Kluyveromyces lactis: one gene and its partner. The protein of the gene in region 1 interacts with the protein of each later gene in a pairwise test. Links are inferred from orthologs where the notes say so. Each region holds a gene or a part of one and is shown on either strand. Other genes may lie near its edges.

Region 1 (5,627 bases):
AGCATTTACAAACAGCTGCTGAAAGGCTAGGTAAAGGTGTTGAGAGATTCTTCAAAGAGTATCACAACTGAAGGGGTCTGTTTTACAGCTCTTTCTGGTAATTGCTAATTTTCAACCTCACGTTGCACCATAAAAACAAAAGTTAGATACTTATATATGAATGCATAATTACAACGTGAAACAATAAACCTGATAGGGCCGTGAAATATGTCCCAACTGCTTTCTTTTGAGCATGAAATTGTAAAATTGCATGACATAATTTTGCATGTCAGTAGTGTAATTTGCAAGATAAATCTTTAGAGTATGTAAAAGTTGAATAAAAAATAACAAGAATGGCTAAAAGTACAGATGAAAACAGTACATGACATGAGTAGACACAGAGACATCTACCACATCTTACACGCAACACACTAACTAGAAATGGAATTACTACCGGAGGGTCAAAAGAACACGGTCACCGTTGCATACGAAGATCAACAACGTATCAATGAGTTCTCCAAGTTGATCATGAGAAAAGATGCTATCGAACAAGATTTGACGCAACAAAGAACAGAGAAAGAGTACCTCGACGACGTATCGTTGGAAATTGAATTGATAGACGAGGATGAGAAGGTACAATATAAGATCGGAGACGTCTTCGTATTTCTAAAACAGAAAGAAGTAGTTGAAAAGTTAGAATCCGATGCTGAAAACATCGACAGCAATATAGAAAAGCTAGAGAGCGATGAGGCGGAATTGGACTCAAGAATAAAAGAGCTAAAGAGTATATTGTATGCCAAATTCGGTGACAACATCAATTTGGAACGTTGAGCCCATAAATATACATTGCTGAAGTGCTTGATAGAATTGAAAAAATATCCTTAAACCGAGTAATATATGTTTGCGTATAAAATCTACATAGAAAATAATAGTAAAGACCGACACAACGTTGATTCAGTCCATAATGCAATCAAACAGCATGTTCTTTCAGCCCACCTAACGCATGAACCTCCTGGTCTTCTTCTATTTCAAGCCCCCAATTAAAATGTTGGTTCATTTCCTTGAATTTAGCGACAAACTCTTCTGGCAAATCCAAACTAAACCCATTGAATAATGTATATTCATGCGTTATAGTCCCATCAAGTTCATGTGCCACATTCACTAAATCATTGTAGTATTGGAAGCTGTCAGGATATATAACCATAAGTGAAGATACTGTATTTGACGATGACGATGATGATGTTAGTAAAGTTGAGAATTAAAGGGAAAAAAAAGGGTTAAGAAAATCCGTCCTTAAACATACACGAACTGGCCAACGCCGTTCCAATAAAAATAGGTGCAAATCTCATATCTGCGGCTAATGCTTTGTTATTACTGTTGCTACTCTATTCTTTGTTCTTGCTAACAATCTCCCTTATCCTTCATATATCATGATTCATTATTCTTTTATATGGATATCATATCTCATAGTGAGTATTTGGCAGAAGGAAAAACTGGTAATCAAAAAAAAACAACGTGATCATAAATTAATAAACGTTACCCGGTTTGAATCACGTGTTAATCACGTTCTTGATAGCCCGCCCTGCGCCTTTCGTGTCGGCCCCCGTACGGCTTCCGTTTTTTTAGGTTCGTTTCGTTATTTTTCAACTGATTTCATTCAATAGTTTCAATTTTTGTCGATTCCGAAGGTTTCCCTGTTCCCCACGTCAAGACAGTTGCAACTTTTTTGTGATGAGCCGTCGCCTTTATAGATCACACCAGCGAAACAGCTTTTCACAAAGATACTTCTGTTCACTGTGTTATCCCATTTCGATAATTAATAGTAATGACTCTGGCAGTTTGGAAAGCTCAATAGATTGATAAAAAAAAAACTGGTTCTTCAACTTAAAAGTTGCGCAAAGGAACGATGAAATATAGATCAGTTAAATAAGTGGTCTTCTCTGGAATACTACAGTATTTTTTCGAATTACAATCCGTTCAATTATATAATTGTAGTTTATATATGGTCCGTACCGTAGTGAATCACCAAACCCTACCGCATCATGCTGGTATTTGAGTCCTGTAGATCAATTTTCTTGCTATTTAATTGATCAAACCGTCTAATAGTTGTATTTATTTGGGATCGTAATCTTTTTTTTCCATTCCAATTGACATTAATATAAAAGGAATTCACTAGGATATTTTATATTTCAAGAAATATATCAAGTGAAACCACAGAGAAAGGGTTCAGATAACGTATAAGTAAGAGGTTAGAGGATTATCTTATTTATCTTGTTTATTTATATCCGCCCTAATCAAAGATGTTGAGATTCAATTCTACCCGTTCCTTTAGCTCTTCTGCTCTTTTGAAAACCGTTACTAAGAAGCACGACTTGGTCGTTATTGGTGGTGGTCCAGGTGGTTACGTTGCTGCTATCAAGGCTGCTCAACTCGGTTACGATGTTGCTTGTGTTGAGAAAAGAGGTAGACTAGGTGGTACTTGTTTAAACGTTGGTTGTATCCCATCCAAGGCTTTGTTGAACAATTCTCACCTATACCATCAAATGAAGACGGATGCTAAGCAAAGAGGTATTGATATCAACGGTGAAATCAACATTAACGTTGCTCAATTTCAAAAGGCTAAGGACACTGTCGTCAAGCAATTGACTGGTGGTATTGAAATGTTGTTCAAGAAGAATGGTGTCACTTACTACAAAGGTTTAGGTGCCTTTGAAACTGACAAATCCGTTAAGGTTCTTCCTGTGGAAGGTCTGGAAGGTTCCGTTACTGAAGATCACCTCTTGGAAAGTGACAGGATTATTGTTGCCACTGGTTCTGAAGTGACTCCATTCCCAGGTATCACCATTGATGAGGAAAGAATCGTTTCTTCTACTGGTGCTCTTTCCTTGAAAGAAATCCCAAAGAAATTGGCTATCATCGGTGGTGGTATCATCGGTTTAGAAATGGGTTCAGTTTACTCCAGATTGGGTTCTAAGGTCACTGTGATCGAATTCCAACCTCAAATTGGTGCTACCATGGATGGTGAAGTCGCTCAAACTACTCAAAAGATTTTGAAGAAACAAGGTCTCGACTTTAAGTTGAGCACCAAGGTCTTGTCTGCCTCCAGAAACGGTGACGTCGTTGACATCGAAGTCGAAGGTGCCAAGAATGGTAAGAAGGAATCTCTCCAAGCTGATGTCTTGTTGGTCGCTGTCGGCAGAAGACCATACGTCGCTGGTTTGAACGCTGAAAAGATCGGTTTGGAAGTCGACAAGCGTGGTAGATTGGTCATTGATGAACAATTATCCACCAAATTCCCACACGTCAAGGTTATCGGTGATGTTACCTTCGGTCCAATGTTGGCTCACAAGGCTGAAGAAGAAGGTATCGCTGCTGCCGAATACTTCAAGGTCGGCCACGGTCATGTCAACTACGGTAACATCCCGGCTGTCATGTACTCCCACCCAGAAGTCGCTTGGGTCGGTAAGACCGAAGAACAATTAAAGGAAGCTGGTATTCAATACAAGATTGGAAAGTTCCCATTCATCGCTAACTCTAGAGCTAAAACCAACATGGACACCGAAGGTTTCGTTAAGATTTTGATCGACGCAGAATCTGAACGTTTACTAGGTGCTCACATCATTGGTCCTAACGCTGGTGAAATGATCGCTGAAGCCGGTTTAGCATTGGAATACGGTGCTTCTGCTGAAGACATCGCTAGAGTTTGTCACGCTCATCCAACTCTATCCGAAGCTTTCAAGGAAGCTAACTTAGCTGCTTACGCCAAGCCAATCAACTTCTAATTTTTCTTGATAAAGCGAAGTGGAAAAAAAAAATTGCGGATAATTGAAGCTGCTTGATATCAATAACTATAATAAGCTACTTAACAATGGTACGTCGTATCCAGTTGTCGTCTATTTTTTTTTTTATTTATCTCGCCATCTGAAGCATCTTTCTTCTTATATATTCCTCGAATCATTCTTTGATTTCAAACTATACATTGAAAAGTAAAGATTATCAAAAATAAATAGTAAACACGTATAATATATTTAACGTAAATGATATGAAATGTTTGTAAACGAATTCTCAGAACATTCTCAGCTTGTGTGTAATAGGCACCACATCGTTATATCAAAAAAAGAGATCATTGGTCCAGAATGAACAGGGGAAATAAAAAGATTGGACGAGTCCGGAGTCGAACCGAAGACCTCTCCCATGCTAAGGGAGCGCGCTACCAACTACGCCACACGCCCTAATTTCTTATTAACAAGAGTTTTGAGTGAACCATCACCACTCCGTGTAAACATGATTTTCTATTTATATCATTACGTTTCACAATACTAACTTATAACGCATTTTGACCATTCAAATCTTATTCAGAAGCAAGAAAGATGGAAACATGGTCAGTGAAGTACCCTTGGAACAAAAATAGGCCCTAATCTATAAATTTACTACATACTCAAATTTTGAATATATAGGTTTTGCATAACAGGTTTGACTATCTATCAATACTATTCCTTCATAGATTCCAACAATATCAACATGAAAGTTGGAATTAGTAAGTTATCATTCAAAGTACTATTACCTTCCAAGATGCCAGCTAGGAAACATACAAGAACCAAATTCATGAACGACACCTCGGTGAAAAAGTTAAAGTAAACTTTCATAATCACTGTAGTTATGCCAGTAGCTGCAATGAATGCAAAAGTGCCCTCGAAAGTTTTACAAGTATTTGGCCATCTGTTTCTTCCAAATTTTTTACCAATAATGGAAGCCAATGAATCACCTACGCCTAGCGAGATGATACCGATAATGGAACCATTGATCAAAAAGGGCAAAGAGATACCGATAATGAAATAAAGGTAGGAAATAATGATTGGCCCCTTTTCATCTCTGAAGTCAGCGAAAGATCTCAAATGTTTGTCCAAATAGTGTCCCACTGGGTAAATATGTAGGAAACGAATGTACTCGACAATGAGAAAAAGGTTTACAGTTCCAGCCAACGCAATTTTCACAAAATTTGAATCCATCATGATTGCCGGAATCAAGAGGGGTAAGATTGCAAAATGCCAAACTTTTCTTGACGTATTCAAAGACCAATTAGATTTCAACGCAAACACACTGGGCAACAACAATAATGCAGAACCTAACCAGATCCCCATTATTTTCAGTCTGATCATAGAGGAACCGATGTAATCTATAAGCCATGTGAACGGTGGGACATTGTTAATGATGAGATTCGTTTGGATATAATACGAAAATCCCACAACAATCATTGGCAACAAGAGTAAGGTTCGGATCCACCGAGTAGCACCCACACTTTCCAGGCCGTACGACACTGCGGAAGTGACAGTTACCAAGACGATAAAACTTGTAAAGCATACTTGGAAAACTTGGAAATAAATAGAGTCAGACTCAACGAGGGCCAAAATATCAGTGCAAAGAAGAGCGAACATATGACACTCGGTCTTGTCTAAAGATTTCAATTTGGAAGTCTTATAAAGACCAAATATGAAGAAATAATTCAAAACCAATGCCTTAACATCGTTGGCAATGTTAGCAGATCCGTCGTCTCCCATCAGAAGAAATATTATCTGCAATGGGATCTTGAAAAAGACAGATATATCACTAATGGAAAAGGCCAAAACGGTATTCAGCAGTAGATATTG
Region 2 (4,478 bases), about 440 kb from region 1:
AAAAATGACTATATGAACAATACACTGGAGAATGTGGGGAAAATAGTTGGTGTTTTACATAATAAATCATGAATAAGTCGTCGTAATTCAGAATCGGCTTGAAATCAAAGTATGAGTATAATGTTTGTTTAGAATATCATGACTGGAATTGGTATCAGCTTGATAGTATAAATGCATTATACTTCACATATCTTGCAAATCAGAAAGCCCGATTTTTTTTTTAGATATCCTTTTGTTGTTTTCTTTTGTCTTGTATTGTTGATTAGCCTACTTTTCTTCTTTTTTTCTTCAAGTCCGTTTGCCAATATCTGGAAACAGTCATAGAGCTGAGGAATACGCATATATGTAACCATTGTTAGATAAAGAATACTTCTCTCTCCCTCACATATATTGCAGAAGGTGAATGGATACATTTGCATGAGTGCAGAGCGGGAGTTTCTGTGATGCCAAAAAAAAAAGAAGAACAATATCTATAAAGATGGAGAACTCTTTAAATCAAATTTAAGCCAAAAGCATCTTTCTTGGATCTTCAATCAATTCCTTGACAGTTCTCAAGAAAGTAACAGCCTCTCTACCATCCAACAACCTATGGTCATAAGTCAAAGCCAAGTACATCATTGGTCTAGAGACGATTTGACCATTAACAGTGACAGGTCTTTCCTTAACACCGTGCAAACCTAAAACAGCCGTTTGTGGCATGTTAATGATTGGGGTACCGTACAATGAACCGAAGACACCACCGTTAGAGATGGTGAAAGTACCACCAGCCATATCTTCCAAAGTCAACTTACCATCTCTGGCCTTCTTACCCAATCTGACAATTTCTTGTTCAATTTCTAAAACAGACAATGATTCAGCGTTACGAACCACTGGGGTAACCAAACCCTTTGGAGTAGCGACAGCGATAGAGATATCGGTGTAATCACGGTAAAGGATTTGATCTCCGGAGATAGCACCATTTACAGCTGGAATATCCTTAGCGGCCAAAGTACAAGCCTTAGAGAAAAGACCCATGAAACCGAATTTAACGTTCTTAGTCTTGATGATTTCATCTTTGTATAATTTTCTCATTTCCAAGACAGCGGACATGTCAACTTCGTTGAAAGTGGTCAAAGAAGCAGCAGTGTTTTGAGATTCCTTTAATCTTTCAGCGATTCTCATTCTCATACGGTTCATCTTGACCTTATGTTCGTTACGGGAGAATTGAGTGAAAGATGGGGTAGAGGATTCAGTAGCAGATGAGTCAACTTCAGTCTTCTTTGGAGCAGCAGCGGCTGGTTTTTCCTCCTTCTTTGGAGCTGGAGCAGCGGCCTTTTCTTCCTTCTTTGGAGTGGCTGGTTGCTCTTCCTTCTTAGGAGCAGCCTGTTGTTGCTGTTCTTCAGCAGCAGGTGCAGAAGCGGAAGAGGACTCTGAAGCGGCAGCACCGCCAGCAGGAGCTTCACCTGGCTCAATTTGAGCAATCTCTTCACCAACGGTAACAGTATCATCTGGAGAGAAGTTCAACTTCGCAATGGTACCGGAGATAGGAGAAATGACTTCGACGTCGATCTTATCGGTTTCGATAGTAGCCAACAGTTCGTCCTTTTCGATGAAATCTCCGACTTTCTTAGTGTATTCCTTCAAAGAACCTTCAGTCAACGATTCAGCCATAGGAGGAACCGGCACAGAAGTAGCATGACGAACTGCCATGAATCTAGTGTTCAACTGAGAAGGGGAACAACGGAATTGGAATGGACCAGAAGAACGACGACTCACGGCGTTAAAAGATCCATTTCTTGAAGAGATATCGGAAGAAATTCGGCTTGAACTAAAACTTCTAACCGCTTCTAATTGTGAAACAGTAGCACAACGAACCAAAGGCTTGTGCAAAGCAGATTTAACTGCAACTCTAGTAGAACTCCTTAACATTGTTGGAATGGGACAAAACCAAAAGTGAAAAAGGATAATATATTATATTATAATCTGTGTTTGTAGATACACTCCGAGACCTGAGTATATTTCCGAATGTTATTTCTGAAGAGTAAATGGATTCAACTGACTTGAATACCTTTGCTCTATATTTGGTTTAGAAACAAAATTATCAAATGTGATAATTTATGATGATTATGATTCAAAAGAAAGAAAGAAGGAAAAATTTGGTACGAATTCAAAAAGGTTCCTTATTTTCTCAACAGGAATCAGAAAAAAGTATCTGTCTTTCTATTTAATTCAAACTGTAGTCAAAATTAGCTCAAAAACGGACCGTTTTATAAATCCTGGGGTTAAACATTCAATGTTTAAAGGCAACCTTTCAAAGAATTGAACTTTATTATCATTATTATATATATAATATATATATAATAATGGCGAAAGTGCATACAGTAGGTAATTAAAATGTGCTTACTCAAAAAACTTGGAAAATAGGGCCCTTTGGCGGAGCCAATTACCGGAATACCAGCTCGTATGAAGTGATATGACGGAGACTCGGCGCCGACCAGAACAGAAGAGCAGAGAGCACAAAGAAAGACTAAATAATCCGGTCCGGATCGTTAAGAGTGAGTGATGAAGGACGGGAGGATTGGATTTAATTGCACCGAAGGGGTCGCTCCGGGAGTCGAACTGAGGCCATAAAAAGTAAGAAGAGTTCCGGGAATAAGGAATAAGTAATAACAAGTCACGTGTAGAGTACGTTCGTATTACATTCGTATTACCCCGACTAACCCTGTTTTATTTCGTGCAATGCATGAAAAAATATCGCGTTTTCTCGATTTCTCACTGCTTCTATGCAATTTGAGGTTCATCTCTATAATTGTATTTACTATTCTTGATTTGGAATCATGCTGGCATTTATCATTATGTATCCCAAACTCTATTTCTCTCTATTTCTCTCTCTCTCTATATATATAGTACGTGTTAGTGTGTTACTGTACCAACGTATGTTTATGAGTGGCCTTGCGGTGCGTCAATTGGAAAGGACTGCTGATATACCAGGTGACTGGTATACTTGTAAGATATAGACAGAGAATTCAATAGCAAACCTCTCTTTCCTGATGCATGATGAGTTGGAAAAAGCTGGTAGGCATTTGCTGATGGTGAACGATCATTTGTCTGAAGATTCAGTGGAACAGGGTGATATTTGCATGACTCAGGTTCCTACTATGTTCAGCGATGATGAGGATCAAGATGAGGAGCAGGAGACTGAGATTCCACCGGAGGAAGGTGATGATGATATTCTGATCTCTACTCAAGTCCAAGGTGCCATAGATGAACTGAACCACCAGGAGACTGTGGTGCACACCTTCCGCAATGTTCTGTCAAGATTTGCGCTGGAAACACAAGATCAAGCGGATATTCCACTGGTGTCTTCCAAAAAAGTGCCAGTCAAGAAAGTGATAAAATCCTCAAAGGTCAAGCAGCCGACAGCACGATTGCAGAAAAGAATCAAGAGTATTACCCAGTTCAATACAGATAATTGGGAATCAAATAGAGTGAAGGATAGGGCTCAGAAGATGATTTCGATTCTTTCGGGTAAATCTGCCAAGGTTAAAAAATTGGTGTCGAAATTGGACTCGGAGGCATCTGCAGATGCGGAAAGTTTACAGGATTCTCATCCGACACAATTTGCGCCCTTTAATGAATCAGAATGGCAACATATCGTTGGCCTCCTACGAGAAAAATTACCAAAAGTTTCTAGAAGCGAGCTAAACTCGGTACAGCAATACGTATACGGTGCTGATGAACAGCACAATCTTTGGAAAGCGTCTCAGTTATCCCCAGAAAAGCAGATATCTTCTCAGTGCTCAGATGGAGAGTCTGAGACTATTCTTCCAAGTTTAACGTTGGATAACAATGCGCCTGTGTATACGTTGTCTCAACTTGTCGAAGGAGAAAGCAGTAATAACCGGTGCTCAACGGAAGATGGATTGAGGTTCAAACCGATCTCGAACCCAAGCTCTGTCATCGAACAGGAACTACCAATTAGCATAGACGTGCCTTCATCTGAGACGGATGTACCGTCTCAGATAGCCGATTCATGCGATAGCGGGTCTATCATTAGCTTTGAAGAGCTGAGTTTCATGATTCAAGACAAGAACAAGGCAGACGTCGATTACGATATACCATGCTATTTACCACCAGATTCCAAGACTTTACCCACTGGTGAGAAAACGAAAAGGGAATATTCCAGGGCAAACATAAACGATCAACTGATAAACATATCACAAACGTCTTACGATGTAGTGTCCTCCATCGTATCTCCAATGAAGGCCCAAAGAACCGGGACTATTCAGGTGCCCGCAACGAGAACTACTACCTTTCAAGACCAACAACAACAGAATCAGCAACAAGCTTCAAAACCTGCTAATGTCGTCAAGATATATGTTGATAGCAATAGGGACTCTAATGACGTTTTCGCCAGTGTTAAGGGGGAGGTAGATACGCAAGAGCAAGAAAGTTTGTCTACTTTAACTACTTCTATGTTGCATGATGATAATAACGAA

What was found. The genes of interacting proteins can lie anywhere in the genome.
Region 2: the proteins of LPD1 (region 1) and KGD2 interact in binary tests that used the Saccharomyces cerevisiae proteins (3 or more experiments, as listed by UniProt). The link is inferred for Kluyveromyces lactis from reciprocal best matches to the Saccharomyces cerevisiae genes LPD1 and KGD2.

Annotation. Positions count from the first base shown.
Region 1 is NC_006040.1:949,770-955,396, forward strand, and holds LPD1 (dihydrolipoyl dehydrogenase), read left to right. Parts: upstream 1-2,279; coding exon 2,280-3,761; downstream 3,762-5,627. Other genes in the region: ARO9 (aromatic-amino-acid:2-oxoglutarate transaminase), read left to right, coding at 1-71; tubulin-binding prefolding complex subunit GIM3, read left to right, coding at 421-810; KLLA0_D11143g (uncharacterized protein), read right to left, coding at 950-1,194, 1,283-1,328; SEC59 (dolichol kinase), read right to left, coding at 4,470-5,627.
Region 2 is NC_006040.1:1,394,349-1,398,826, forward strand, and holds KGD2 (dihydrolipoyl transsuccinylase), read right to left. Parts: upstream 1,909-4,478; coding exon 502-1,908; downstream 1-501. Other genes in the region: SLX4 (Slx4p), read left to right, coding at 3,030-4,478. UniProt on the Saccharomyces cerevisiae protein: The 2-oxoglutarate dehydrogenase complex catalyzes the overall conversion of 2-oxoglutarate to succinyl-CoA and CO(2).